2 linked regions of the Astyanax mexicanus genome follow. The protein of the gene in region 2 interacts with the protein of the main gene of each other region in a biochemical or structural test. Links are inferred from orthologs where the notes say so. Each region holds a gene or a part of one and is shown on either strand. Other genes may lie near its edges. The genes, in order: rnf181 and itga2b.

What was found.
Region 1: the proteins of itga2b (region 2) and rnf181 form a complex in vitro, tested with the Homo sapiens proteins (2 studies listed by BioGRID). The link is inferred for Astyanax mexicanus from reciprocal best matches to the Homo sapiens genes ITGA2B and RNF181.

The regions. Positions count from the first base shown.
Region 1 is NC_064429.1:6,770,697-6,787,210, reverse strand, and holds rnf181 (E3 ubiquitin-protein ligase RNF181), read right to left. Parts: upstream 10,131-16,514; 5' UTR 10,032-10,130; intron 7,590-10,031; 5' UTR 7,570-7,589; coding exon 7,484-7,569; intron 6,166-7,483; coding exon 6,032-6,165; intron 5,915-6,031; coding exon 5,799-5,914; intron 4,592-5,798; coding exon 4,517-4,591; intron 3,904-4,516; coding exon 3,844-3,903; 3' UTR 3,051-3,843; downstream 1-3,050.
Region 2 is NC_064426.1:36,360,295-36,376,808, forward strand, and holds the start of itga2b (integrin alpha-IIb), read right to left. Parts: upstream 9,882-16,514; 5' UTR 9,755-9,881; coding exon 9,576-9,754; intron 5,916-9,575; coding exon 5,794-5,915; intron 4,368-5,793; coding exon 4,270-4,367; intron 3,074-4,269; coding exon 2,908-3,073; intron 1,647-2,907; coding exon 1,597-1,646; intron 1,395-1,596; coding exon 1,349-1,394; intron 1-1,348. UniProt on the Homo sapiens protein: Integrin alpha-IIb/beta-3 is a receptor for fibronectin, fibrinogen, plasminogen, prothrombin, thrombospondin and vitronectin. It recognizes the sequence R-G-D in a wide array of ligands.

The sequences.
Region 1 (16,514 bases), on a different chromosome or scaffold from region 2:
TTAATTGGTTTTCCAAATATTCGGTGCATCCCTACTGAAGATCATAGAGATAAGGAAAGCGATCCATAGACATCACATGACATGACAACCAAAGTCTGGAGAATGTTCCTTAAGCTTCGCATAAGTGACGTAAAACAAGAGCTAAAGAGCAGGAGGATTCTGTGAAGATGTAATTCTAAAGATTTTACTTTACCGACTGTTTCTTTTTCTTTAATCTGTATAAGTGTACTGTGTCTTAACACAAAGCCTTGCTACTTGACTACTGTAGGCACCTCGGATCTCCACCACATTTTGTAAGTGTTTTTATTTTAACCAAATTCTGAGAGTTTTGAAAGTTAAATCAGGTAAATTGGAAGAGCTGCGAGTTTTATTAAAGTGTTCTGATGTTTTCTCACTGTATATTTGTTACCCTGTTCATGATACTAGCCAAACTCACTCCGTTACCCAGAGCTACGAGCCTGCCAACGTACTGAAAACACACTGTCACATCGTAACATTGTAGTACCATGTTTTACAAGACCTGCTGAGACGTTTCTGTGGGGAAAGTCAGTAGCAGTATTGGGAGTTGAGGATGTTGAGGATGATGTTAACGCCAGGAGGAAGGAAGGGGGCGGGGCTTTAATTTTGTGACGTATTTTCTGCCTGTAAGTTTATCTCCGAACCGGAGTTATTTTTCTGATGCCTTTTAAAAGATAACAGGAATATTTTTTATCAGCACGTTCGCTTCTAACGAGTGCGGGACGGAAGACTCGAGGTTCAGACTCCAAAAACCGAAACAGAAAAAACAAAAAACAATGCAGAGAATATTTTTTCTTTTATAAGTCACTTATGTAAATACGTAAGAGTTATGTATCATTTCAATGATGTTTCTTTTTTTCTTTGATCAGAGATTTATATTCAATTACAGTAAAAAAATTACTGACAAATAAAGCAGATTATATGTTAAAATGTTGTGTTTCTGTCTTTTTTTTTCTCACAGCAGTAGTGCTGTGTTTTGGCAAGAACTTACACTAAGATGCATATCACGATAAATGGTAATTATTTAATATATTGAACTCAAATGAACTTAAACCTGACGTTTGTTGGCTCCCTGCCTTGTTGCTACACCACAGCGCACAGAACAGCATTCACATTTTTTCCTCAATTTACACGGCCAATTACCCAACCCACTCATTAGGACTCCCCCATCACTAGTGATGCCCCAACACACCAGGAGGGTTTAGACTAGCACATGCCTCCTCCGATACATGTGAATTCAGACTCCGCCTCTTTTTGAACTGCTGCTGATGGATCATTGCTGAGTAGCATAACTCGGAGGAAAACGCAGCGACTTGGTTCTGATACATCAGCTCACAGACGCAGCCTTGTGCTGATCTACATCACCCTAGGAGTGTTGAGGGGATAGTGCAGCACCATCTACTGTTCCCACCCAGAGAGAGCAAGACCAATTGTGCTCTCTCAGGGCTCCAGCAGCTGATGAAGTAAGCTGCATGACCAGGATTGGAACCGCGATCTCCTGATTATAGTGGCAGCGCTTTAGACCTCTGGACCACTTAGAGCCCAGAAACTGCAATATGATTTTTAAATAAATGAATCATTTTTTAATAACAATTATCATTAATAAAATCTGAGCAAAACTAATTTTCAAAGCAATCAGAAACAAACAGTGGGATCTTAAGACACTTTCTAGAGTGTGGGGTTTAAAAAAAAAACTAATTTATCCAGTAATGAATCTTTATGTAAACTAATTATAATAAAAACCCATACTGTATTCTTGAGAATCTCAGTACAGTATTGCAAAACTTAATATCGAGATACTTAGATATCTTGATATTTTCTGACAACCCTTTACTCAGCAGATAATGGAGGATTTCACTGTAGATGGCTTTATTAACGAGAACACTGAGGAAGCTTGAATTTAAAGTCTCTCTGATCAGCATATTTTGATGAACTTATCAGCTCAATCTTTCTTCCTGTTACTAAAATACGTTAACACTGCTGCTGGTTTGACAGATATAGGTGCTGACTCTGCAAGTTTAAAACCCTTTATATAGCGAAACATGTGCCTGGAAGATGATCTGGTCGGGTCTGTTGCTTCTGAATCTCTTATTTCTTTGAGTTAGCAGAAAAAAATCAATTTTTTCAGATCCATTGACCAGAATAAAAGCGTTTCTTAAAGGTTAAAGGTTTATAAAAAAAAATATATATATACAGGGGTTTATTACATTTGCCATTTTTCCACTATTCCATTATAATTTCTTGCAAAAAAGCAAGTACAAAACTACAACACTAAACGTTTTAATATCCCAGCAGATAAACTGACAAAGCACAATACATACATTTACAGCAGCAGTGCTTTTCTAATCATAACTTTACCTCAGCCGTGCTGTTCTAGTAACACATCTAGCTAGCTAGCTACCGCAAATACATTCGCAGTGCAGTTTTAGTCACAGATTTACTGCAGCAGTGCTACTCAAGTTACATGTGACTGAAATTTACACAGATGAAAGCAGCCAGAGGTTTGGTAAATAAACAAATGACAGGATAAGGAGAAGTTTGCTCAACTGACGTTACTATCCTAGTCCTGTACAGCTCATACTGTACCTTTCAGCTGGAAAACAGCCAGTGAAAAGAAAAGAGATAGATAAGAAGCTCATTAAAACAATATCAAGAGTGATAAGTGGTGCTGAACACTTTATTTTATTTAAGTAGTGCGAGAAAAGTGTAAAAATGAACTTAAACCTCTGCTAAAAAAAGAGGAGGAAACAACTTTAAATACATTTGTTTGTTGTGTTAAATGAATAAAAATCTAAAGCAGGACTGCTGTTTTATTTCTTCAAATGATGACATTTCAGCTATTTTTGGAGAAATATGGTTTAGGGTTTAGTGGCTCTTTAAGTCAATGGACCCAACTTGACTTGTGTCAACAGCCAGCTCATGCTGGAAGAGGAGGTGGTGTAATGGTACAATGTCATATTTATAAATAAAATTATACATGTTACATTCAGAATAAAACATGAAATGAGAAAAAAAACAGCCTCTGTTTTGAGTCAGTGTAAAAATATTTTATTCCAGGTCATTTTGGAGCATTTCTGTTGGTCAGTTCTTCTTGGAATGGTCACATAAAATGGACAGGACAGTTAATATGACCAAAAAAACAAACACATTTTATTTATATATTGTAATTATATTGATATAATATTGTTTTTGTAAAGGTTAAAAAAAGAACAAACTCACACTCAACATTTCTGAGATTGTCTTTTTCTTTTTTTCATTTCTCACATAACATAATTCTCATAACATATTTTTTATTAATATTTTTTCTATATTAATTCATCCTGTATCAGCTGAAGAGCTACACTCTGAGAGGCAGCGTTGCTGATGTTAATGAAGCAACAAAATGTTTTCCTCAGAGTTAAACTGCAGCTTTATTTTTTTTACACCATGATAAAAATTCAAATTCTATTAAAAAGCAGAAATAAATAGATAAAGACACAAGATAACATTGGAAAATACACAGTTCTTGTGTTCAAAAAAGGCTCATAATGGAAACTCACAGGATGTGATGGGATTTACAGTCGGTACAGACTTCACAAGTCCTTTAGACAACACTAATCTTAGTGCATTTGCATACAAAATGTAAGTTTTTAAAAATAGCTAATTATTTTCAAGTAGAAGAGAAGTCTCACTTTCCAGAGCACGGTCCAAACTCAACCTCTCAAATCAGAAACACGCAAACCAGCCGTCCAGGCAGCTCATCAGTTCAGCCCTGCATTAAAAATGTGCGTTTTTGTGTGTGGTGTGGATTCAGGGGACAGGGGTCGGGGGGTGTTGGTATGAAGGTCAAGTGTACATAGCTCCGTGAAGATCCTCCAAGCGATGTTCTCTCTGCCTTCTTCTCTCCTGTGTGTGTCCACAGACAAAAACTTTATATTATATAGATGTATTAAACACACAGAGTGATCTATTTTAAGCGTTTATTTATTTTATTGTTGTTGATTATGGCTTACAGCCAATGAAAATCCGAAAAGCAGTGTCTCAGAAAATTTAAATATCATTTAACACCAATTGGTACTTTTGGCAGGGTGGGCAGTGTGCCAAATCCTGCTGGAAAATGAAATCTGCATCTTCATAAAAGTTGTCAGTAGCAGAGGGAAGAAGCATGAAGTGCTGTAAGATTTTGTGGGAAAACCAATAGAATAGCTCTGCACTGACTTTGGACTTGATAATAAAAAACAGTGGATCAACACCAGCAGATTAACATGTCTCTCCAAACCATCACTGACCATCAGTAAATTTTACATTTCATTTGTAAATCAAGGGAGCAGAGTCTGGAGGAAGAGTGCAGAGACACACAGTCCAAACTGCTCGAGGTCTAGTGTGAAGTTTCCACCAATCAGTGATGGTTTGGAGAGTCATGTGCAACATCTGCTGGTGTTGATCCACTGTGTTTTATTATCAAGTCTAAAGTCAGTGCCGTTTTTTTCTATGGTTTTAAAGACACATCTCTGTTTACCTTGTCTTTTTTAAACTCTTCATAGTCAGCGTCGTCAGTGGGCAGTTCAAATCGACAGAGTGGACATGAGTTGGTCTGAAACAAAAATAAAGCATCTTTCTCAGCAAAAGCATTGGATTCTGATCCTAGGACAGTTAGTTTTGTAGTTATAGACTGTGTATGTGTTGAAGGGATATTAAAATATACTAAGTGGTATATTCACCACCTAACAATGCATGTGCACAGAAAACTGTGGGTAAATGAGGGCTCGGAGGGCGTTATGATGCCCTTAGAATTTTTTATATTTGTGCATAAATATGACCTAAAATCAAATTATATTAAAGCATAACAAAAAGTCTGCTCTTTACAACAAATTTTGGAACTGTATTATGGCACAGACAAAAGAGGATTTCTGAGGACCTCAGAAAAGTTGTTCACCAGGCTGGAAAACATTTAAAAATCTAAAGTTTAGACCTTTAGTCTCCACCAATCCACAGTCAGATAGATTGTGTACAAATGGAGGAAATTCCAGACCATTGTTACCCTCTCCAAGAAGTGTTCGATCAACAAAGATCACTCCAAGAGGAGGGTGTTTATTAGTCATCAGAGAATTTTAAAGGAAAATGTCAGGACATGCAGTACATGAAGAAGGTGGGTCATGCAGCAGGACAATGACCCTAAGCACACAAGTCAAGCTACCAAAAATGGTTAAAGTAGAATAAAAGTCGTGTTTTAAAATCCTGACCTTAATCTAACGGAAATGTTGTGGAAGAACCTGAAGAGAACAGTTAATGTGAGGAAATCCACCAACATCCCAGAGTTGAAGCTGTTCTGTATGGAGGAATGGGCTACAATTGCTCCTAGCCAGTGTACAGGACTGATCAACAGTATGTAATATTGGATAATTTTCTCAATTAATAAATTACCAAGTATAATACTTTTGTTTGTCTCAATTGCTGGATTAACTGGATTCTCTTTGTCTACTGTTATGTTGTGGGTTTCATTTATGCAGAAATATAGAAAAATGTAAGGGGTTGACAAACTTTGAAGCATTAGAGTTTAAGAGCTATCCTTCACCTATAAAATAAATAGCAGCTCATTGATTTAGTAGTCTGCTCATCAATAAAGTGCTTAAATATTAAAGTTGTACCTTTTTAAAAGAGAAAATTTCAGCTTGGTCTTTGCCAATATCAGTGTATCGGTATTGTGCAATGACTGAATAGGAAATCTGTGATGCACCTTAATAAAACGCAGTATTGTCCCCACCCAGTGTGAGTATACATGTGTAGACACATCCCCTCACCTTGCCTAGCCAGGGCAGGATGCAGCCGGAGTGAAAGAAATGTTTACAGGGCATCTCACGAACCATCTCCTCCTCCTCAAACTCCAGCAAACACACAGGACACTTCAGCCCTTTATCTGGACAAAAGAAAGTGAGTCAGAGGGACATCAAATCAAAGATGCTTCCACCACAGTTCATCTCACCCTCCCAGAAAGCACTATTAAAGTGGAAGCTGGGAAGAACAGGACAGTTACCTGCTTGCTGTGGAGTGATACGATGTAGAGGCAGGCTCTGCACCACCGTTTTGGATGCAGGTGGAGGGAGACGCTGATCCCAGTCAGAAACATCCATCCATCCTGAGTCTATATCCAAGCCCTGCATCAGTGACCTTAAGAAAAAAAACTGAGCTGTTAATTTATGCTGTAAATATAAACACACAACAGTGGATCCTCTGCATAATACAACAGCATTATAGGAGGTCTGGTGTTAAACAGACTGTAAGAGACTATGGCTGCACGATATATATCGTTTAAGAATCGCTATGTGCGCATGCGCTATAGTCACATCACAGGAGGCGGAGGGGGGAGCAGGAGTAAACACAAGGTAACTGCATGGCCTCTATCCACATGGTTGGGTACGTGCTTGTAAACGTGAGCAGGTGTTGAAAGCTGTGTACCTCAGTCCAGCACAGTTTTGCAGCGCAGATATTTCTAGTTACAGCTGAATTCACGCTGTTAAGCTCTTATTTAGCTTTTAAAAAGTCATTTAAATGCCTAATTAAAGGGTAGATTACTGTTGTTTTGCTGTTTTCCTCGGGTTTTGAGTGCTCAGCGCTGACTCAGCTCTTGATCGGTGTGAGCGGAGCTGGTGATGATGGACCCTGCATTGTTTAATATTGCGATATAATATAAAGGTGGCCTTGATATAAGTGATGTAAAGTGATACAAGTGATCTGTAATACACCACATTAGACACTAATGGTCAAATTTAAATAATTTAATTAAGATATATATGTAATGCCATCTAGTGGCTTTTTTTGGTAGCAGCGGTGTGCACTATTAAAACAGCAATGTGCAACATAAAATAAATAATAATAAAATACAGGAACAGTCATGTACAAAATAATAGAACAATTAGAGCCTTAACAAACTGAACTCTATCCTACTATAACAGTTAAACATGAGAAATAAGATTTGGTCCCTAAAAATGTCAAGTTTTTTTCTTTAATAAAGATATATTATTAACTTTATCTGAGAGAAAGATGCTCCTTAAGGTACCAAAACTATTAACATATTTGAGGCTAGACAAAACAACTGTTATTTTTATATTTTTAAGTTTTTCTTTAAGAAGATGAGAATGTCCACATTCTCTGGAGAAAGAGCTGCTCTTTCAGCAGTCACAATGTCTGCGGTGCGTGCTGCGCCATTTGCGTAGCTTAGAGGGAGGGATCGTCGATCATCTTTTTGACTTCGATGCTCGAGACCATGACATCATTTCGATCGATTTCGATAAAATATCGAAATCGTGACACCCCCTAATTAATACATTATCGGTCCACCTAATAAGAAGGCAGGTGAAAGTATAATAGACGTATTGCATGGACCTATTTTATACAAAGGCCAATTAAAAGAAAGAGAAAGAAAGACAAGTGTCTCTAATAAACCACCCATTAAAGTGTATGATAATAGAAAAGCTGTGGCAGATACCTGGCCAGTTCCAGCAGAGCATTCTGTCTGTACTGCTCCTCGGGATTGGTAGGTTCACAGTCATGTTCTTCAAAGTATGAAGTCATCCCAGAGCTGGAAAATTAACCTAACGACAGAAACATCATTAGAACATTACAGCAGTGTCAGGTTTCTGTAATTCAAGTCAGGGAACCAGTCTGTTCATTAACAGAAAGGAATATTTAATGCTGATGATCTTTCTTCAGACTTAATAGGGTGATTCAATGTTATGGTTTTATGTGTATTAATTGTATTAAACTTTACTGGCATTAAATATTTGTGTATGTTGTGAAAATTTGGAAAAGGTTTAGAAAACATTTTAATTTTAGAAATCTCTCCCTATCTTGCCCACGTATCTCAAACCATCTCTTCCTTCCATTAACTCATGATAAAGGGTTCAACAATTGGGATAAAGCAGACATTAAAACACTACAGGATTTATATGTCGAGGGCACTTTTGTATCTTTTCAGTATTTAGTAGAAAAATGTAGTAGTGTTGGCCAATGCTGGTAATATTCTTATAAAAAAAAGAAATAAAGAAATAAAAAAGATCAGCATCATGATATTTTTTTAATATCTCAGTTAGGGATGTGCGATATCATCTCGTTTGCAATAATAAAATTAAATTATCATTTTGTTGCAATAGTTTATTATTTAAACATATTTTTTAACTTAGTGTTTTAATATATTGGAATATACCGTGAAATATCGTGATATTATTTTAGGGCCATATCGCCCACTCCTAATATATATATATATTTATATAAGTTATAATAACTGATAACTTTTAACCTAAAAGCGAGTGTAGAAGAGCTCAGCCCTACTTTTCAAGTATTCAAACATTTAAATAAAAGCTGATTCAGTGTCACAATTTCAACACAAACCAATGCCTATTAGGCAATTAAATAAAGCTTGTTTAATAAAGGTTGTTTCTCTATTAACATTAAAAGATGTAATGCAACCAAAAAATGTATTACTATTCAATTATACATTAATATTAAATGTATGATTGTATGTATTATTTACATACATTATTATTATTATTATTATTATTATTATTATTATTAGGTGAGAGTGGGGGCAGTTAAGAGACCAGTTTGTAATAGGAAGACAAACTTTTAAGACAGTAAAACTACAACTGTCACTTATCCATCCATTCTTGTATATTAAGCGCTATACATATTGATCGCCTAAGAGTTAGTGTTACTATTTACCCCTATTTAAACCACAGGAACACAATACAAGCTATACATGTAAAATATGTTAAAGGTTAAGTCAACGTTTGCCATCTGTTTAGCCAGCTGGATTACACTAGTACCACCAGTTCACTTCTGCCACAGCTAACTAGGTTTGTTATTTAGCTACTTAGTGCTGGTAAAAGTTTCAGAAACATTTTTACTTAAAAAAAAAAAAAAATACTATTGACTACTATTTAAACGTCCCTTTCTACACTACAAGATACAGTAACGTACACAGTACACTACAGTATACGCTAGAATATAAACAAGATATACATGTCCAATATAAGTAATATTTAATACAAACAATACATATGAAACCATAACGTTGAATCAATCTTAAAACAACCTTAGCTAGGTTAGTTTGGCTAAAGTTTTAGAAGCGTATACAAGTGTTATTACCATTTACTAACATTATTACTATTTAAACGTCCCTTTCTACACTACAGGAACACATGACATGCTATAAGAATAGAATACTAACAAAATGTACATGTTTAATATAGTTATAGTTATATTTAATACAAAAGTAACACCATAACGTTGAATCAATGTCGAAACAACATAAGATAGTCAGTTAAGCTAGTTAGGTTGGCTTTTTAGGTTGGCATTTTACATATGTTCATTATATTTTACACAAATTAACCTTTACTAATTATTATTATTATTATTGTTGTTGTTGTTGTTGTTGTTGTTATTGTTGTTGTTATTATGTTTTTATTATTACGTCCCTTTCTACACTACAGGAACATAGTACATGCTATAAGCATAGAAAACAAACTAGATATACATGTTTAATATAAGTAATATTTAATACAAATAGTACATATAAAACTATAACGTTGAATCAATGTAGAAACAGCCTTAGTTAGTTTAGTTAACTTTAACTATTAGCTAACTTAAGTTAGTTAGGTTGGCTAAAGTGTTAGAAGCATAAGCACGTTGTATTACCATTTACACATGTTTATAATATTTTATAGAAGCTAATTTAACACATTATAAACGTTACTGCTTCAGAAACGTTACATTAACATTAGCTTGCTAAGCTAAGCTAGCTAAAAACAGGCTAAGGTAAACATTAGCTAGTTAGCTTAGCTAGTGAACTAACGTTATTCAGCACTTTGCCGGCTGTGTTAATAATTTCACCAGGCTAGCTAACAGATATCTAATCAGCTGATAGTGCTGTAAATCAAGAGAATAAAAGAATAAAAGCTCTGAATGTATCGTATCGTGTTTAATTTCTAATTCACACCCTAACAATGATATAAACCGACACAGTAATATAACCCTACCCGCCGCTGCCTCCGCCGCTGTCAGAGCTGAAAGCTGAGCTAACCCTGCACTGTCATCATCACGGAACTGAACCAGGAGGGCGCGTCGCAAACGCAGCTTCCTATATACTATCTACCTAGGCTGTAAATTTAGTGCACTATGTAGGGAGGAAGCAACCAATTGAGAGTGACCCGGACAAACTGTCAGCATTGCACTCAGCATTGAGTGTAACAGCAGAGGGAGCAGCTGAGCTACTGTTAACCTAATAAAATGATCTTTTAAAGCTTCTTGTTTTATTAAACTGTATTATTTTATAGTTTCTATTTTATATAAAGTCCCAGTCAAAAGTTTGGACACACCTCTTCTCATTCATCAACTCTGTGTTTCTTTTTTTAATGATTTTTTACATTGTATATTTAATATTGAAGACTATATTAAAGTTATACAGGAGCACATGCTGAATTATTCTGTAAACTTATAAAACTGGTAAACAAATCAGAATATATTTTATACTTTAGATTCTTCTAAATATCACATGTATCTTTAAGGACTCTTGTGCAATTTTGATAGTTTTCTCAGCGTCTTGAAGGAGTTCCTGGAGTTGCTGAACAATAGTTGCTGCTTTTCTTTTCTTCACGCTGTGAAGCTCCAGCTCATCCTAAATAACTTCAAGTTACCATTTCAGTTCATCAGGTTTAGATCAGGAGATTGGGTCATGTGTCGAAGGAGGCATGTGCTGGTTTTTCCCCTTCTGGGGTTGGGGCATCACTAGTGATAGGGGGAGTCCTAATGAATGGGTTGGGTAATTGGCCTTGTCAATTTACTATGTAATTTAATGTAGAAAACAAATTGAGTAAATAAATGTTTTTGTGAACTTTGGTACACAGACACATTACAATATGCAGATCAGTCTATCAATAATACCAACCCCTGCTGACGTCCAACCATCTGCGTCTCACCGCTATCAGAGGCACACTGCTGCTGCTGCAGCTCAGCCAATCAGCTCTCCCTCCTGCCCCGCCCCTAAACCCATACATCACCCAGTGCCCCTCTTAAACTACCCATCCTATTTTGAGCTAATGGTGGAGTCAGCAAAAATCAGGGGGGTTAGTTAGGGTTACCATTTAAAGCAGGGGTCTCAAAGTAGCGGCCCGCGGGCCACATGCGGCCCGCGACGCGGTTTCATACGGCCCCTCACGGGTTAACAAAATAAACATACATCTGGCCCGCAATTCAATTTAATTATTTATGCTTTATTATGTTCGTTTTCATATTTTATCTTAACTTGTATTTTGGTGTGTGTGTGTGGTTTTTGTTTTTTTTTTTGCTTACGCTGCGTTGCCTGCTTTAGTAGTCTTCAGTAGCCTTCAACAGTCTAACCTTGCTGCCGTGGTGTGTCCATTAAACTCCGTAGTTATAAACATCCTGAGGTTAGCAGCGCGCTAACTGAACTGTTTATAATGTAATCCGAGCAGTGACTCCGTGACGCTGCTCTAAACTGCTGCTGTTAGCTGCTTGGGCTGAAAGATGAACTGTAGAGAGCTGTATTATCCGGTTAGTGGGGTTATTTTATTTCATACACAGAAGAACTTAAAAAATTTAAAAACGCTCCAGACTGGCTCAGCTGAGTCCTGTAGCCCGTGGCTGGGCTGCAGCTCTGACTAAGCAAAGACTGCGGGCTTGTGGTGCTGCAGCTGCAGCTCCGACTAGTGGTTGGATGAGGAACTGCTAAATCTGAGGAAATGCTAAATCTGTCACAGCTCACAATTTTTGATTTTATATTTATTAAGCCTTATTTCAGTATCAAACGTTTTGATCAAAGTTAATATAACTTATAAATTAAAAGGATTTATGTTAATAGAGCAACAAGCAATCATTTTTCCATGCAACTGTATATTTGATTGAATAAATAGTATATTGAGAGTTATTTAACATTAAGGAGTAATTACATTCATTTTGTATTACATCTGGTTACATTTTCTTATATTTATAAGTTACATCTGGCCCTCATAGGACAGCCAATATGCCAATGTGGCCCTCGGCAAAAATGAGTTTGAGACCCCTGATTTAAAGAGATAAAGTGTAGCTTTAGTCCACCCTGTCACTGTAAAAAATCACAGCAATTTTAAAAATAATTTTTTAAAAAATCGAATTTTTTATTTGAAACAGAACAAGAACAAGATCACCAACGTGTGATACAAACCAACACATCTGTTTCCATCAAATGGCAATGTTCACAAAAATTGTCCACCCTCTCATGCAGCTTGCCATAACAAGACAGATGCATGTATATCAGGAAATAAAGTGAAAATAAGTAATTATTAATTAAAGCCAGAAAAAAATGTTTTTTGTGTAGTGTATAAATATGATAAATTCTCCATACAATCATTTGGCACTGCAAAAGCTGTTCTAACAGCATCTTAAACCAAGGGCGTAGGAGCGGACTTGATATTGGGGGGGACACATTTGCCAATATGAACCCAAGCCCACTCTAAAAGTAAATTATTATTATAAGGTGATTTAACAACCTAAACATGTTACTCCACGTTACATTTACTGTTGTTAGAAAAAATTATGCATGCAATGTCTGAATAATATACATACGACAAAAATAATCAGTTATCACCTAATATTTAAAATAATATAACAGATTTGTTTATTATTATTATTATTATTATTATTATTATTATTATTATGTCATGTCAATTCTGTCGTATATTTACATTTTCTCCTGCGCTTTTTTTTTTTTTTACTGAGAGCTCTTCTTAAGATGGTGTCCTTTTTTGTAAAAGAATGTAACTTTAAGTTTCATAGAGATTTTTATAAACGTCAGGACATGTGGTCTTACTGTGAACTACAAATGAATAGAAGTCACGTTACAGCAGTGTTTCTCAACCCTGTTCTTACATATTCTACTGCATATTAACACTGTTCTGCATATTTTAGAGCTTCCTCTGCTTTAAAGGCATTTAATAAAGTTAGTGGTGGTATGATGTGTCTAATACACTGCTGGATATACATAATGATTTATTTAGGCTCCATAGGGGGCTAAATTTGCACACTGTCTTGTTATTTATTATTCTTTGTCTGTATTGTGTTGTATTGTCTGTCTGCACTTTTGTACTGTTGCACTATTGTTCTGTCTACACTGTGTTTATGTGCACCATGGTCCCTGGAGGAACGTTGTTTCGTTTCACTGTGTACTCTGTATATAGCTGAAATGACAATAAAAACCACTTTGACTTTGACTTTGACTTTAAAGGATTTTAACAGGTAAACTCAGTAAATTACTGTTTATTAGCTGATCAGCTGGATCAGGTGGAAAATTTTTGGGGCAGTGATCAGGGTTAAGAAACTGCTTTAAACTACAAACACAAAGTACTGTACTAAATTCTGGCTATCCACTACATCTGGCTTCTAGATAACTAGTTAAATGAATATTCGTTCATTATAGCTCACAGTAAGTCCTAAATTAATTGAAAATGAAACAGTGATTAGCTGATCAGGTACAGGGCAAGTTGAACATTACATATATAGTTTTTTTTTTTCTTTAACCTTGACTCCCAATCTAGCTCATTCCAAAGTTAAGCTAACTCACTCACACAGCTGCAGTTTATTAATCACAGTGGGTTTAAACTGTGTGCTGATTCAGAGACGTGTATTTTTAACCAGCTAGCAGAAACATATCATCACAGTTGACGTGGTTAACCTATCGTTACCTTTCTTTTAGAAAAATCTCCGTATATCCATATCTGTTTTAAAATCAGCTGAAGCTGCTGCGTCCCGACCCCGCTGCTAAATCTCACAGCGAGGGGGAGGGGCTTCCAAACAGCAAACTGCCTCTCCTTCGCGCGGCGCAAAACCAGCAAGCTGATTGGCTGTTTCTACTGAGAGGCGGGACTTAATACCTGAACCGGCTTCGTGATTGGTCCGGTCTGACTTCTCATTAATAGTACACCTGATCTGAGCGAAAAGATGTCATTTTTGGGGGGGACAAATCCACCTGTTTCTAATATTGGGTGGGACATGTCCCACCCATCCCCCCCGGTTCCTACGCCTATGTCTTAAACTGATGGGCAGCTGCTGATAAATGCTGTGATTCTGTGCTGAAGCCCAGAGCACTATAACAGTTCTTTAAGAGAACTGAAAGCATTTAATGATCCATTGCTGAAAACAACCCAAAACATTTCCCCCACATTCTTCTGGCAGTAGCCTACATCTGAGTAATTCCCTGATGAAGATGATAGAAGCTAATAAAAGTGTGTGTGTTATTATGTGTGTTTAATCTGCACAATAGGAGAGCCTTAAAACTGTCTGGAAGTGCTGGAAGTGAACTTTCCTCTCTCAGTCTGTGAATCACAAAGTTAAAAACATTACAAACTCAATACATCAGCCCAAACCCTGCCCAAGAGAGTGTAACGGGTCATCGGGTTTAAGAACTTCCCATTGAGAGAATTATAAGCTAGAATAAGTATTTTATAGGCCTAATCAAAACATAATAATGACATTATCTACATCCATTATTTTATTTTGTAGTTGTATAATAATTAGAAGTAGTTCTGCATCTGTTTGTCTGTATACTTAAGCAATAATACACGAGAGGGAGTGCTATAACGTGTAATATTGGCACTGTTGTCGTGGGCGTGCAGTCGTAGGCATGAGGCCTCAGGCAAAGTACTGTAGATCAGCACAGCAGTGCCAATATTACACGTTATAGCACAAACCTTCAGTGTATTATTGAAAGACCTCGCTGTTTATTAAAAGATTTTGAGTTAAAGAGGACGAGAAAATGCGATCTGTTTGGTTATTAACACTCTGTGAAAATTTTAAAATAGTTCCATTGCTGCTCTGTTTGTAGCTGCAATGTTTGGTTTGTAAGCGCTGCATCGTTGCTAGGTTACCTGTATGCGGCAAAGTAATACAAGGAGAACTTCGGTTACAGTGCATTGCTGGCTGATAATAGCACTCATAGAATGCCTCTCAGCCAATCACACTGCAGGGTCGGAACTAACTGTGCTATACTTTATTATTCTTCGTTCACTGTGTTATTTAATACTCAAAATCCCACAGGAGAGAAACCCACCACAGATCAGCTATTATTATTATTATTATTATTTGGGTGGTGTATGGTTATTCTCAGCACTGCAGTGATTAACATGGTGGTGGTGTATGAGGTGTTAGTGTGTGTTGAGCTGGTGGTAGAGTGAGTGCATCAGATACAGCAGTGCTGCTGGAGTTTTTAAACACTGTGTTTAATCATCACTCACTGTCCTCCACTCTATTACACACTCCAACCTACAGCTCGGTAATACTGCATCAAAAAGAGTTCAAAAAGAGGCGGAGTCTGACTTCACATGTGTCAGAGGAGGCATGTGCTAGTCTTCAACCTCCTGGTTTGTTGGGGCATCACTAGTGATAGGGGGAGTCCTAATAAATGGGTTGGGTAATTGGCCTTGTCAATTGGGGAAATACATAAAAAAATATTATTAACACCATTACATATGGCCTCCAGATAAATATACATTAATAAATTCACGGTGAAGGCAAGAAACAGTCCACAAACAATATATTTTATTCAGATTCACCCATATTTTACAATCATTAACATTCCATATAAAGCTCACAGCCCATGGTGGTGGTAGCTTCACTGCTGGGTTTGGACGGTAAATAAAATGCATATAATTATGTTGTAGTTGTGGAGAACAGGGTTGTATTCACCATATCATTAAACTTCTCTACAATAAACCAAAATTTCACACAGAACCCTCCACTCTGATCCACTGTGTACATCTCAACCACAGAATTATCAAAAAAAAAAAAAAAAAAAACAGAAAAATCTGAGAAATTTACTAAATGTGTAAAAGTGTAGATATTTACTTTCATTAGATATTTACCCAGGGTTCCCTAGAACCGTAAAATGTGCTTTGCAAAATGTTGTGCTTTGACTCATCAAATAAATTGTGAATCCACTTATTAACTTACTCTAAAGTAACATTTACTTTTTTTTGCTAACAGTGTTAACTTTTCTATCTCACATCAGCTAGACGTTGACTATTCTGACTACTGCTCTAGCTGATGTTAGCTGGATGTTAACTACTGTAAAAAAAATGTGACCTGGATTACGACTCATTTAGCTGATTTCAGCTAGATGTTCTGGTGAATGTTATCTAGATAGTAACGACTCTGGCTAACGTTAACTAGATGTTTGATAAACTTTTTTTTAGCTGATTTTTAACTAAATGGTAAACTTCTGTTATTAAGATGTTACCTTTGCTATCTGGATTTTAACTACTCCAGGATTAACAACTGTGGCTAACGTTAGCTAAACGTTAGACACTAACAGCTTCTCTAGCTGCTGTTTTCCTAATAATACCTTCTCTGGCTGACATAAGAAAGACATTGACTTGTGTAGCTGATGTTAGCTGCATTTTAACTACTCCAGGGTTTTACTACTAGATGTTAACAGCTGTGGCTAATGTTAGCTAGACATTACGCAGATATTG
Region 2 (16,514 bases):
AGTTTACATTTTTGTATATATTGTAGTTTTCTTTGTGTGTCCTGATTAAAATACTGAAAGGCATAGGCTGCTCTGAGTGTCAGGTTTTTAATAATCTACATGTATCCTTGAGGTGTGATTATTGATTATCAAGAAAAATAACTCCACCTGATGTTTCTCCATGTATTTTAAGTCATGTAATGAACTCAAATTATCAATATTCTTATGCTTTCAACTCATAAACACTCTAGTCTAACTATTTTTGAAAAGATATCTTAGGTGTGAATATATTTAAAGTCTATACATTAAAAAATAAGTTAAAAAAAAAGATTTTGATTAATTATTTATAAATCAGATAAAAAGAAACCAAAAAAATTGGTCTTCAGCATTTTATTTAATTGTCCATTAAGCCTTTCGTGTCTTGTATTTTTCAGTTTCTGTCCTGCTTGTTTTTGTTGCTGTTTCCTTGTTTTGTTTTGCTACCTGCAAGCACATGGTCCTGTCTCCGCCCTAGCCCCGCCCTATCCCTGCCCTATCCATTAGTGTTTTCACCTTGTGTCTTGTTTGTAACCCCGCCCCCTCGTTACCAGTCCTCGCCCTCCTAGCGTGTATATAGCCTATTATATATAGCCCGTTCGTTGTTTAAACTCAAATGATTTAAGTCTGTTTTACATAAAATTGGATATTTCTAAACAATGCTCAACTATTTTGAGTGGGCACATATACTGTACTATTCACACTGAGATCTTTGAGTTGAACCAACTTATAATAACTGAGTTTAGTCTGTTGTCATTAACAGCTTCTTTTCCATTGGCTTCCGTCACAATCTATTTGCATACTGGGTGTGTCCAACAGTTTCTGACTAACACTCACCATCAGTGTGCAGTGATTCCCTCTGGGCTACCTTAGAAATAAATCAACTTCCCCCTTTAGTTGTAATAACTTAATGTTTTAATTTATCATTACTTAAAAAAATTGAGCAAACTTAAAAAAAGTAAACTCAACTTATCTGGTCTTACAGTATAACAAAAATAAAAAAAAATCTAACTTAAATCATTTTCCCCTTTAGTTGTAATAACTTGATGTTCTAAGTTATGCTAACTTAAGTTTTCATTACCGATTACTTAACTTTTTTAAGTAAATTCAACTTATCCGGGCTTACAGTGCATACAAAGACAAAATTAAGTTTTTATATTTGTTTGGCCCTCCCGAATAGGTTATAGAAATAAAAAATGCACACCAAGCTAAAGTCCACATCTCAGGAGATTAAATAAGCTTCAAATCATTTAAAATAATTTAATCAATTAGCTTTATTTCAATAAGTATTTCTTTTGCAGAACACCTGCCTCTCTGACTTTTTGAAACATACCTTGGAAGAAAAAGCCTCCTGGAGCCCCGAGCACCACAGTACCGTCCTACAGCGAGAAGCATCAGAGAAAAGAGTGATGATTTTAACACATTTTCACCCCTTTTAAAGGAACTTCTGACAAGAGCAGGGCCTTTAAGTAATATGAAATATTTGAAGGGTTCATGGAATGAATCCCATTTGATCTCAATGGATCAATTCTTCAGAAATTGAGAAAGCGATGAGAAAGCAGTGAGCTTTGGGTTTTATACCTTAGTGACATCAGAGCTGAAGCCTGCTTCACAGTAGCGTCTGTCCTGATCTGAAAAAAAGAGAGAAAAACATACATTTTAACACAGAGCGTCTCTAAGTTTCTGGCAGCAAGGGGTCGGTTCCTCACAGATTTATTTAACAAATGTAACTGAACTGTCCAAATGTTTAACCCTTAGAACCCTACAGACAGATTTTCCATCCAAAATCGCACCTTGTGTTCTCAGCTTAATTACTCAGGAATCCCTTCACACATCAACATAATCCATATATGATTAGAAAGGGCGGAGCTTACTCTTTCTAAAAATAGTGATCACATCCCAGTGTGGTAAAGCTAAATCTACAAGAAACCCATTGAGAAAAACACCTAAAAAAAGTGATAAGATCTCCTTCCCCAACCAATATTATTTACCTTTAGTGCTTCAAACATATTTATATGATGATTCAAACCAAATAATATCAGTAAATATCAGACTCAAAAGTGTCCACAGAAAAACTAGGTGTGAAACTACCTGCTTTACTCAAACTAAAGCTAGGTATGTTGTGCGCACTACTTTATATATATATATATATATATATATATTTTATCTTACTTGCACATTTTTACTAAGTAGTTATTTTGCACTAAACATTTTTATTAATTTAGACTAACAAGTTTACATTTTTGTATATTGTATATTTTTCTTTGTGTGTGCTGATTAAAATACTGAAAGGTATAGGCTGCTCTGAGTATCAGGTTTTTAGTATCTACATGTATCCTAGAGGTGTGATTATTGATTATCAAGAAAAATAAATCTGTCTGATGCTGTTTCTCCATGTATTTTGTTAAAGTAATAATTAATAATTCTTGTATTGAACTCAAATCATCAATATTCTTATGCTTTTTTAACTCATAAACACTCTAGTCTAAACATTTTTAAAAAGATATCTTAGGTGTGAATATATTTAAAGTCTATACATTCAAAAATAAGTAAAATTTTGACCAAATCATGATCAGTTCCAGGAAAATATAACAACTCTGCTTCCTTTTACATTTTAAATGATTATATTTTTGAGCAACCGTATGTCTTCTGGAGTAAAAGAGATCAGGGCATGTGTCTGTCTGATGTAATTACTGTGTTATAAGACCTGAAAGAGGAACTGACAAAAACTGAGAAAAAAAACACACCAAAACAGCCTAGAGTTCAAAGGGTTAAAAGGGATCATATTCATAATGAAGTACCAACCACACATTGTGTAATTATTATACATTTACAGAAGCCATAATTTCAAATATACAGCATCATTTTCCACAGACCGCAGTCAGAACTTACAGTTCCTGGCTCTAGTGTAGCTTTCCTCCACTGCAGTTCCCCTACAGGGGGCGTAGTTGGCTAAATTTCCAGTCAGTGTGTCCAGTAGCTGGCAGTTCCCCACTGGTGTGTTCATGGCCTCGTCTTTGCCCTGAACCACGTTCCAGTGGAACAGGGGAGCACAGGCCTGCATAAGGGGAAACAGCAGAGTCAACATAATATACAGAACAGGGCTGGTTTCTGATTGGTTGGAGCATCAGGGTGTTGATCACAAGGTTGTGGGTTTGAGACCTGGGTTTGTCAAGCTGCTACAGTTCATTATACAACAGTTAGTTTCGACCCTGTAATATGATTGGCTGAGACGCGTTATATGAGTGACATTATCAGCCAGTAATGCACTGTATGGTTATGTAATGCACTGTAAAGTTCTCTATGTCTTGCAAACCAAACAGCGCAGCTGAACACGGAGCAGCCATGGAACTATTTTAACTTGCAGAGTGTTTATAACCAAACCAATCGTATTTTCTCGTCCTCATTAACTCAAAATCTTTAAATAAACAGCGATAATGGAACTGTGGTATAATCGTAATAATGCACTCCAGGTTCATGCTATAACGTGTAATATTGCAGTTCCAATATTACACTTTATAGCACTCCCTCTTGTGTATTATTGCTTAAATATAGGCTATATTATGTGTTAAATATAGGTTTGTTCATACAGATATATAGCACACTTTTATTACAGTTTTATTAACTTATTTTTTTAAGTAACAGTAACAAAAAGTAACAGTTGTTACCAGTTTTTTTATTTTTTTTAAGTTTGTGTGTCTCGATTATATCCACAGAATCTTTAGATGCTCTTTATAATATTGGTAAAAAAATTATTACAATCGCTGAGGGGTGACCAGTAACAGTGGGTAAAAGAGAAAAGAGAATAGAAAGAAAAGAAATCTTAAAAGAAGCTACAAAAAAAGAGAAAATATCTCAGAAGATATCAAAAGGCTCACAAAAGATCTTAAAAGAAATAACAATAAATATATGAATAAATAAGAAGAAAATATATATAGATAATTAAAAAAAACTCTACATTTATTCCACCTCCCCCACAACCCTAATCTATTGCACTCTATTGCACAGGATACATTCATCAGAGTTACAAGCCTCAGAAACTGCAAGTTAACAGCACTCCAAACTTTTGACTGGTCCTGTGCATATGTCCTGTGTATCATATGGTGCATATTAGCTTTTTTTCATATGTCTCAAAAAGTAAAAATAAGTTTCTTGCATCCAATCCCCAAACCTGTATTGTTTCTCTTATTAACAGACTAAATCACATTTGGCTTCCAATCGCATCAATACTTCACAAAACACGTTGTTACTTACCAAGATGGAACTCTTGTAGGCCCTCACTGTGGCCCCCAGCCACTGGTCAGATTTATGGCTCATGAGGAGCATGTCTCCAAATGTGAAGTTTTCATCACCTATAGACAGAAGATGAACCAGGATATAAATCTAATCTAATGTATCTTTCCTTTCTTAAGCCCTATCTTAAGATTTCTTTTTTTAGGGGGTCCTGCATGGCGTAATTTTCTCTTTTATGGGGGTCCTCTGTGATTTTATTCCTGTCCGGAACAACCATGTACGTGTTTTTTTTCAGACGTCCATTGAGAAATTTACAGGCTGAATTATCTACTTTATCTACTATTTTAGATGCACATCTCTGAGTTTCATCTCCTTGCGTTTATTAAAATAGCTATTTGTCCACTGCCACGCACCGTAATGACACTTTGGGCATGTGTTTCCATGGAGATCCACGTAAAAACACAACAGCGAGTGGAAATGGAGGAGCTACTGAACGCGTTTCCATACGGACTCCCACACTCCCACACTGTGTTTGTTGCTAAAATTTGGCTTCAACCCAAAGTGAAATAAGAGTCAGTGTCTCTTCTCTGCTCCAGCGTCTTTTAGAGCACTTAGACATCACCATCGTCCTCCATGTGCTACATTGTCCTGATATCACGAGACAATGCAATGTTATGTGACCAAAAAAGCCAAAAACTCACTGGTACTCCTGTTTTTTCAATTGCAGTCTGAATGCAAGTGTTTTATCACTTAAGTTAAAATGTGATATTTTTTTTACAGATGTTCCCCTAAGTAACTAATCCCATCCAGATAGGGCTATAGAAACATTACTGTCTTCCAAACAGTAATCCAAATTGCTAACCTTCTGAGCTTTCAGTGTATGTCAATGTAAAATAATGAATGATCTCACATAGAAATTGCCATATAGGTCAATATAGGTTTTTAGTTTAAAAATATGACCTACTCTGTGTTTGTTTTTTTTTTTATTCATTCATCAATTCATTAATATTTTGTATCTTATGAAAAAGAAATTAATGAACGAAACGTAAATGAATAAAGAACTGATTCTTCATGATTTTACTGTGGTTAAAGTTTTAGTTTAGGTTTAGTCAGTTGTCACACCAGGGGCCGAAGATGCTCCCTTTCCTCCTGTACCTGTGATACCAGTGATCTCCCAGACTCCATTGTCCAGAATGCACTACACACACACATCACTCATTCACTCCGTCTGATGACATAAAATGAAAAATTTTAGACCACAATCACATGTATTGACTTGACTTGAGTATTGACTTCACCTGTTTACCTCACTATATATACCCCTACACTTTACTCACTCACTGCATTAGAGTATTAGATTAAGTTCTGTCCAGCATTTACAGTATTTAAGTATTTATCTTTCCTCTGTTTAAAGCAGTGAGGACTTTAAATACATTTCATGAAATAATTAATCATAAACAAGTTCAAGTTTCACAAGATGTCATGTAATTAGGTAATGACACACATTTAAAGTAACAGCTTTTCCAGTGCTAACCCCAGGCTGACCTGTTTGGTCAAAGGCCAGTCTTTGACAGGGACCTTGTGTTGACGTCCACGGACAGATGAAGACAGATCCTCCCGGGGAAGCTCCTACGTTATCTCTGGGTGCGCCCACCACAACACTCACACTGCAGAGCAGAAATGACAGTGTGTTACGCAACGATGACCCTTCTGAGAACCACAATTTCACAACGTTAGATACGCTTCACAAGACTTTAAATTATGCCTCTGAATTGACCTTCCTCTACAGGCCAGTTCACTATATTGTACCGAGACAATAATACACACATGCAAAAACCTTGTACTCGTTAAAATCACAGTGTAAACATGTTTTAACTCTCTGGGAGTTTTTTCTAACAACACTCAGTGATAAACAATCCACAGTGTTGTTGTTATTATTCAGAGTTAAAATATTCAACTGTAACAGGCTTCGCCTCTTGATTCTGCTGTGTGTGTGTGTGTGTGGTTTAGCTTAGTTGTGGTGGTTCTCCTGATGGAGCTTTATTCACCCACCTGGTGGCGTGAGGTTGGATGGTGGATAAGGGTCTCCATCCAAGAGTTATTTTGAGTTATAGGAGAAACACTTCTTTTTTGGCAGTTTTTAATAGTATATCTTGTTCTAAATAAAGCTTAGATAGTATAAAATAGTAATTTATTCTGTGGTATAGCTCACATTTTATAATGTTTTATAGATACTCTGATATATAGTTTTTAGGGGGAAAAGTCAAAAAATACAAAAAAATCAACAATTGTTGTTTTACCCTGTGTTACAACCCTACATTGTTTTAACTCTGAATTAACTCTAAAATATTAGCACTGATGAGAGTTACATAGGGTTAATATATGATTCCATATGGTGTTGAATTAACTCTTGTGGTAGAGTTATTTTAACACTATAGTGAGTGGGACCATATGTTATCTAGGACAGTGTTAAATTAAACTCTTATAGGGTTAATTTGACACTGTCAATTTTGCTGTGCATCTCAGTTTTTTTATATTTTTGATACAGTGCAATTTTGACAGTTTGTTATTTACATTGTATCAAAATGTCATGATGAATGAACCAATAGAAATGCTCTATAATGACTTGGAATAAAATCTTACATATTTAAATTGGAGACACAAGGTTTATACAAGACACTTATGATATAAAAAAATCTTAAATGCCAAAAAAAGTTGAATGTTGCTCCATCTTCATGCTCGTCTGCAGTGGAGCCAATAAACAATTTCTGCAGATCCTATATTTCCAGAAGTATACACTCATCTGCCATTGCATGCATGTATTTTTGAGTGACATGCCATTTCTAATCCATAGGGTTAAAATGATGTTGGCTCACCCTTTGCAGCTATAACATGGGGTTTTTTAGAAGTGGATTTGTGAGTTCAGACACTGATGAATTCTCCGCTCTAATTCATAACAAAAGTTTTTTTTTTTCGGTTTAGGTCAGGACTCAGTGCAGGCCTGTCAAGTTCTTCCACAAGATCTTCTTTCTTATCTATGTCTTTATGGACCTTGCTCTTGGTGTGCTGAAGCATTAGGAGTTCCTATCATTTTCCTTTAGATTACCTGTAACTGTTTTAGTTGAGTTGGCTGATATATGTAAGAAGGCTTGCTGTAAGGTGTGTAGTAAAATGGAGTTTTGCCCCTTGTTGAACTGTCAAGAAGACGCGACTGTGGAACATTTATTGATTGAATGCCCTAGAACTGTGAAGGTCTGGGACAAGGTGAAAAATATTGTTTTCCCTTTTGATTTAAATGTTAAAATTGTACTATATGGGATTTTGAGGGAAAACTACAAAAAATAAAATGTACAAGAATTGGTTAATTGTTTGCATTGTTAATTATTAAAATTTGGACTACTAGATGTAAAATTATAATAAATCAAGTACAGATAATGGATGATATTGTTTTTAAGACAATTATATGTGAACTTAAAAGACAAAGGACAATGGACATTAGACAAAATAAATATTATACCTGGACTATTTTAAATGTATAAGTATTGTAAGTGTCACGTCTCTAGGCTCTCCTTTCACACTCCTGAACTCCATTTCCCATATACCCACTGGCGATGACGTCACCGTCAGCCGCTCACCTTCACCCAATCGCGTTACGCTCCCAAGTTCAGACTCTCCTGTGTTCTAAGTTGTTCCGGTTCATAGTAATTCCATGTTTTGTATATATAGGGTTCTGTTAGCATATGTTCTTTGGGAGGTATTGTCGACTCATGTTGCGTACTGAGCGTTTTTTCCAAACCCTTTTCTGACTGCCCTTTTGTTATGACTCTTTTTTCTGTATTACGGATTTTGCCTTTTGTCTTTGCCCTTATCGGATTTGTTGTATTATCGGACTGTCTCTCTGGCTTCGGATCTTGGACTGTTTCCTGTACTACGTCTTCTGTTAATACTGTGAGTTCTGTTCGATCTGTTATCTGGCTGTGTTATTCTGTTTACGGCTCTGTAAATAAACCAGTCTTTACCTTTTATTCGGCAAGCGTCACCCCTATCTGTCTGGTGTTTCAGTAAGAAATCAAAATTATTAAATGTATTGTTTATCATACTTTACTTTTTGCTTTTAGGTATATATATATATATATATATATATATATATATACACATATATATATAGTATATATATATATGTGTATATATATATATATATATATATATATATATATATATATATATATATATATATATATATATATGCACTCTAAAAAGTGATTTTGTGTTTTAGTCAGGAGATTAAATATTATTGAGTGAACTTACCGGCCAGAACAACTCAATAAAACAGGTTCAGAGAGCTTCAACCTGAAAACTTAATTTAAAAAAAATGTGATTTCAACCAATTTTTACTATACTACATGTGCCAAGGCTCTTTCATCAGTGTTGGTTTATACAGCTTTCCTATAGGCTTCTGGCACCATATATTTGCATATTGGGTGTGGCTTCTCCCTTACTTACCATCTTTGTGTTGTCTGTTGCCCAAAGCTACCTTATTCTAGGCGTGCATTATTATGTGTTGATTGCCAGCAGGTCTCAGTGTTGTAGGCTGTAAGAGCAAGTTACCTTTATTCTGTGTTCCTAGTGATCACGGTCTGCTGGCTTTGAGCCGAAGAGTTCACTCTTATGCTGCGGCAGTATTATACTGTCAGGATTGGCAGCTCTATTAAACATGCTGAGAGTACTGATCTATATTAAATAAAATAATTTATTTGAGCCCACATTGCATGACAAAAAAACTGTTGAGCTAATTAAACTACTGTTGTGTGAACAAAACTTGTTGAATAAGTTGAATAAACTTAAAATGTTCTATATTTACAACTCAACTGAGTCAAATCAAAATGATGACTTGACTGATTTGAAATAGAGCCAATGAATATTTTTTTTTCAATATTTCTTATTAAAAATGTTCAGTTAGTAGTGTTTTTCTGTTGACATATCTGTTTTAGCAACAGAATTCAACACATTTTTTAGTTATGAGCCATAAAGTTGTACTAACTTAAAGAAGGGCAGGAAATTAGTTGCTTAATGATTTTAAGTTGGAGTGACTTAATTTTTCTTTTACAGTGAATATGTAATTAAGTATATGATGTAGAAATGTTCATTGTATTGTAATGTAAGAGCATCATCAAGCCACCCCAGAGAAAGCAAGGCCAATTGTGCTCTCTCAGACTCTGGCTTCTGATGCCCGTAAATGGTGCTTAGTTTCCTGGCCTACCAGTATATACATTATTAACTGCTGAGTCAATATTAATCTACCTGCTACGGATTCTAAAGCCACTTACTTTTTATTGTTTGCTTCAAAGAAGTCCACAGAGAAGCCGAAGTAGCTTCCCTCTGGTCCGCTGTGTTCACTGTAGTTCTCCAGATCCAGGTTAAAACTGCTGCTCTGATGCGGGACGATACTAAACACAGCTAAACACAGAGTGAAGATGAGCAGGCCTGTGTCTTTCACTCCCTCCATCTTCTCCAGCAGCGCTCAGAAGCTGTTTCTGCTCATCACTGGGTGTGTGTGAGTGTTCATAGTGTCACAATCATCAATCTGTACGATATCTGCAGCCTGGTGTTGGAGAGCAGCTTCCTGCTGATGAGACGAATGATCAGTGTGTGAGGTTCATACAGGAAAATAGACTGTCTTCTGCGCGTGTCATCGCGTCTAAAACGTGCTTCCTCAAGATAAAAGCAGACAGAGTCTTCTTTTAAAGCGCTGAGTGATAGCTTTATTAATAGACAATGACAGTGTGCTGCTGTATGTAAAATATAAAATGTGCATATACAGCTCTGGAAAAAATTAAGAGACGACTTCAGTTTCTAAATCAGTTTATCTGATTGTGCTATTTATAGGTTTATGTTTGAGTAAAATGAACATTGTTGTTTTATTTTATAAACTACAGACAACATTTCTTCTAAATTCCAAATAAAAATATTGTCATCTAGAGCATTTATTTGCAGAAAAAGAGAAATGACTGAAATAACACAAAATATCTCAAATAATGCAAAGAAAACAAGTTCATATTTATGAAGTTTTAGGAGTTCAGAAATCCATATTTGGTGGAATAACCCTGGATTTTAATCACAGTTTTCATGCATCTTTGCATGTTCTCCTCCACCAGTCTTACACACTGCTTTTGGATAACTTCATGCCTGCACTCCTGGTGCAAAAACTCAACTCAGAAAGCAGTTCAGTTTGGTTTGATGGCTTGTGATCATCCATCTTCCTCTTGATTATATTCCAGAGGTTTTCAATTTGGTAAAATCAAAGTAACTCATCATTTTTAAGTGGAATCTTATTTTTTTTTCCAGAGCTGTATATTAATAAACACAAAAGAGAGAGAAAAAAAATATGAAATGCAGTGTTACATATTAAATGCTATCTTAAAAATGATTCAAATATATGCATCGAATGTGTTTTAATAATGTATAATGTTAGATCAATCCAGCGGCTGCCAAAAACATAATACACTTAAAAGATGTAGTATTTTAATTTTCATATGGAAGTAATGCACCCATATCAATTCAGTGCAGTGTAGTAAATTCAATCTATTACATTTTCAGTGTATATATATATATATATATATATATATATATATATATATATATATATATATATATATATAATTATAGGGGGTCCCACTGTATAACGATACTGAATCATCCTTTATAGTGTAGATGTTTATACAGTTCCCACACTAAACACAACAATAACACAACAGAGAAACCTTACTTATTAGCAGTGTTGGGCATGTTACTTTGAAAAAGTAATTAGTTATAGTTACTAGTTGCTTCTCCAAAAAAGTAACTGAGTTACTAAGTGAGTTACTCCACTATAAAAGTAACTAGCTACCAGTAAAAGTAACTGTTGTGTTATTTTTGTGTTACTCGCCCCCGTAACCCCCAAAGCCGTTATTCCCATCACTGCTTACTAAAAAAAACTAATACTGTAAGTTGGTGGTACAGAAACTGTATTATTTCTACAGTTTAATAAATTCAACAGCTTCAGAGAAAATAAAAAAAAAACACAGCTCCCACAGTGTCTGTTCTTTCCAACAGTTTCTGTCCTTTAAACACAGAAATGTACAAAGCCTCACAACTTCCTGCTTATCAGGAGACAGGAAATCATCAAAAAGTTTGAATCCCATTTACTTTACAGCTTTGAGGTAAATTTGGTGTTTACATGTTAGTTGGAAAGCTGTATTGTTCTGTATATTTGGCCTAGTTTGATTTGTTATATATAATTAAGCTTTTATATTTTATCTAATCTAATGTAATCATCTGTTCACTAAACCCTCACAAAAAAAAATCAAGCATGTGTTCCATTAAAGAATATTTTTTTTATTAATGTTCAAGAAACAAAAAAAGAAAAAAACAACAACTTTCCATTGCTTTGAAGTTTTTTTCAAGTTCTGTCATCAGCATATATTGATGTATAAGGGTAAAGACTTTGATTTGACAGCAGCAAGTACTAAAATCAAGTGTGTTAAATGTTTAAGGGTACTTTCACACCTGCCTCGTTTGGTCCGGACTTTTGGACTTTTCAGTTTGGTCCGAACAGGTGTGAAAGGGGCCGCGAACCACGGTCCGGATCTTCTGAACCATGGTCCGGTTCTCCTGCAGTGTGAAAGCACTTTTCTGGATGGTTTGAACTTTCGGACCAATTACAGGAAGCTGAGCAGCATTCCTCAACAACAGCAGCAGAAGAAGAAAAATAACTACCAACTACTACTGACTGCAGCCTGCAGGCGGAGTTGGACGTCCAGCGCGTCCAGTCCCACCTACTTTGTCTCACAAGCTTGTAGTGTATACACAGTATTTAAGCCGGACGACGCGGCGCATTATATTTAAAGTCCGCTAACTGCCCTGTACATTGTTTACTTCCATTCAGAGGCGGAGCTAAGACATGATGCTAACAAAGTGGGCGGGACTGGATGCACTGGACGTCCAACTCCGCCTTCCTGCAGGCTGCAGTCAGTACCCTCTCAAAATAACCGGACAAGCAGGAAAAATGGGGCGTGGATACAGCTGCTTCAGGACGAGCACGTTCGTTTGGTGAATTTGAACTAACCTACAGTACTGTGTCTGAAGTTGCTGCTGCTGCTGGTATAAAAACACAATAGCAGCAGCACTACTATGGAGATGAAATGAATCTGTTCATTCATTTTATCTTTATCCTGGTCTTTCCACCGAATGAACCACCTGCTGAATTATCAACACGCCAACGTCAGACGCACGTCCTTCTAAAACCAATCAGCGTCAAGTTATGAAAAACACATCGATACGTAGGGCTGGACTGGTAATCTGGTGTACTGGGCAAATGCCCGGTGGGCTGACATTCCTCAGGGGCCAATGCTGATTTTTTTTCTTCCTTTTTTTCTAAGAGACCGGCCCACAAGTTAGAAGGGGTCTATCCCTCGCTCGCATAATCACGCGCTCTCTCTCTCTCTCCCTTTTTTTCCCTGTCTCTCGCTAGCTCTCTCTGACTGTCTCTCTCTTTTTCTCGCTCACTCTCTTTCTCTCTCGCTCTCTCTCTGATGTAAGTGATTAACACCACTAATATAATTTAATTTTATCAATTTAAATCTGATATTTCTTAAAAAGAACACTTAAATGCATCCAATAATAATGAAAAAATATTTGTAGTTAAATTAATGCTGTTGTCTTTGTTTTTAATAAAGCGCCACAATCAGGCTCATTGTTTGTTTGTTCTACCTAGATCAAAAGATCCTCTCATGATGAGAGTAGGAGTGAACCCTGGTTTCAAGCATTTAATAAAAGAGCTCGAGCCCTGTTACAACATTATATCCCCCCAAAAAAAACATGATTATAATAAAGTTCATTTTTTATTATGAAGTTGATAATGGTAAGGCTATACAGAATGCCCTGTTTGTAGCCTGATACGAATTCATGTTATAGCTGTTTAAAGGAGGAAGCACCTTTAACCTGAAGAATAGAATTGAACTGTTGTATTAGAGAAATTTAAAAAATACATATTAGAGATGATTTCAATAAAAAAAAGATAAAAAATCAGAGCAGACAAAAATGGCGGAGTTAATAATAGACAATAAACTTCTTATATTTAATATGCTGATGTACATTACGCTTCTCTGTAACCCCACATACATAAATTACAAGTGGGTTGTGTTCCGCAAATTATGAGGGGCCGGTCTAAAGTAAAAATGCCAGGGCCAATTTTTTGTCCCAGTCCAGCCCTGTCGATACGTAAGTGATGATGAAAGGATGTAGGAGTATCACACAAAGTGTGAAAAAAAAATAAGCGGACCAAATATATACAATGTAATAAACATATGAACCTTGGTTCGGACCACGGTCCGGACTTTCAGGTGTGAAAACATCCTAAAATAAAAAAGTCTGGAAATGTCTGACAGACTTTTTTTTTAATCAGGTACACATCTGTCTAAGCCTGAAATGACCTGTAAAGATGTAAAATGGTCATTTATACGATATGTATATTTTCCTTCCTGCCATGCGGTGATGTGTTTACTGAACCTGAACTCTGAATGACCTGAAATCATCCCTGACTGATTGAGGTCAGGCTGGAGAAATGTATACGGAATAGTGTGAAATGTGTTCACGTGTGAAACGACTGAGAGGAAAGCCAAAATTCCTCCGGTCACAAGAGCCGGACACAGCCAGCCTACAATAACACACAGTCTGAAACACAGGGGCGTAAAACTGAGACCCAGAGCCGCGAATGTTTTCATCAGTAAATCACATTAACTTACCGTGATCTCCAGTTCTGAACAGGTGCGCTGCTGGATTTCCCTCACACTGTCTGAGAGAGAGAGCTTAACCTTGGATTCATTTAACACAACTGCAGAACTACAAACACAAATGGCTAAAGAGCATCACAATGTGGAGAAGTGTGAGATTTTAAAACAAGTTTTTTTTTTAAAAAAGAGCAATATTGATCTTATTTGTAAGTGTACTCTAAGTGTCTTAAGTTTCTCTGATAACTGTGTAGTTACAAATACATGTAATAACAGTGTAACTACTGGTAAAATTTGCATTGTTACATATTAATTATACTTCTACAGCTTATCTAATTACAAATGTGCATAAAAGTCAGTTAAACAAAGCAAAATATTTTGTCCAAAAGAGGATTGACAATCTATCCCGCAAATGGCGCAGCACACTGTAGCTCAAAGAGCAGCCCTTTCTCCAGAGAATGTGTACATTCTCATCTCCTTAAAGAAACACTTGAAAATATTAAAATATCAGTTGTTTTGTCTAGCCTCAAATATGTTAATAGTTTTGGTACCTTAAGGAGCATCTTTCTCTCAGATAAAGTTAATAATAGATCTTTATTAAAGAAAAAAACTTGTCATTCTCAGCGACCGAAAAAGTCTTAAAGTCTTATTTTTCATGTTTAACTGTTATAGTAGGATAGAGTTCAGTTTCTTAAGGCTCTAATTGTTCTATTATTTTGTACATGACTGTTCCTGTATTTTTTATTATTTATTTTGTTATGTTGCACATTGCTGTTTTAATAGCGCACACTGCTGCTACCAAAAAAAAAACCACTAGATGGCATTACATATATATCTTGATTAAATTATTTAAATTTGACCATTAGTGCCTAATGTGGTGTATTATAGATCACTTGTATCACTTTGCATCACTTGTATCAAGCCCACCTTTTGAAATAAGATATTGTAAATTTGATGAAAGGAAAATCGAGAATCGAATCGAATCGTGACCCTAAAATCGTAAAAAATAAAATCGAATCGAGGATTTAGAGAATCGTGACACGATTCATATACATTTATACACTCGATTTATACCATGCACTATTGCACATGAAAATTCACACACATTTTATTAAGATTTTTACGCACTATTAAACACTAGTCAAAATAAATGCTGAAAAAAGCAAAAAAAAAAAAAAAGATTCAATTTTAATTCAAATTTTAAAGCAATAAATCTTATTTTTTCTTTGTTAGAAATTTGTGTCTTACTGTACAGTGTAAGTGCAAGATTATTTTGTTTATTTAATGAATAATAAATATTTTTTAAGTAGTTTTGCTTAAAAAAACAGAAATTTAATTTCATTTTAATCATTTGAACTGAAAATTTCTGCTTGATTTACTTCACTTTTTGAGATTTTGAGAAGAAATGCTTACTTATTTCACTTATAGTATATATTATATATAATATATATAAATAATAATATATATATACATAATATATACATATTTTGACTAGTTTTTTTTGCACATTGCATGAGCAGTTAGATATCCTTTACAACTGTAATACATCTGTAACATTGTGTACATTACCAGTAGTAACACTGTTATAATATGGATTGTTAATGTGTAACTACACAGTTATTACAGACACTTATTATTAAATGGGACTAAAATATGTTTAAGTAAAGAGCAGGTTTGGTTTAACGAAGCAAATTAAACAACAGGCTTTTACAGATGTGCAACTGTTTAAAACAGTCTGCCTTTTATTTTATTTGTGAACATTGTACCCATTTTGCAATTTACTGCATATCAAAACATTGTAACTTTTATACTCAGTCATCATACAAATGATCAAATTCAATTTTACTGAATTGTATAAATTTAAGCCGTCCTTTTACATTAACCATGGCCCAAATAACTTAATATCTGTAAAATAAAATAAAAATGAATTAATGAAACATATTTAATGGCTGTATATGTATAGGTATATCTAAAAGAGTAACAATCTGAAGGCTAACCAGACAGACATAAGTAAAGATAGATGCTTAAAAGTACGATCATTGGAACAATCATTGGAATTAATGGAAACAGAAGGGAAACTTGAAAGTGTATTCATTAAAGTGTTCATATAACAAAACATCATATTGCAAAAAATGAAAATACTGTAGTATTGGTTATCAGCATTCTGTATCTTTTAGTATATCATTAACTTGTAAAAAAAGTGTAAAAAAACAAACAGTCTTTGTAACATCATAAAAGCATCAAAGCATCAAAGCATAAAAGCGTAATTCCAACAATTCTGTAGAGAAGAATAGGCCAAAATTCCTCCACAGTGCTGTAAAAGACTTTTTTTCCCCTTAATAATTAAAAAACCTTAATTTAAAAACTACATTTTGTATTTACTAGTGTTGTCTTTGACTAATATTTAAATGAGCTTAATCATCTGAAACATTTAAGTGAAAAACATGCAAAAAAATAAGAAACCATGAAGGGGGCAAACACTTTTCACACCCCTGTATT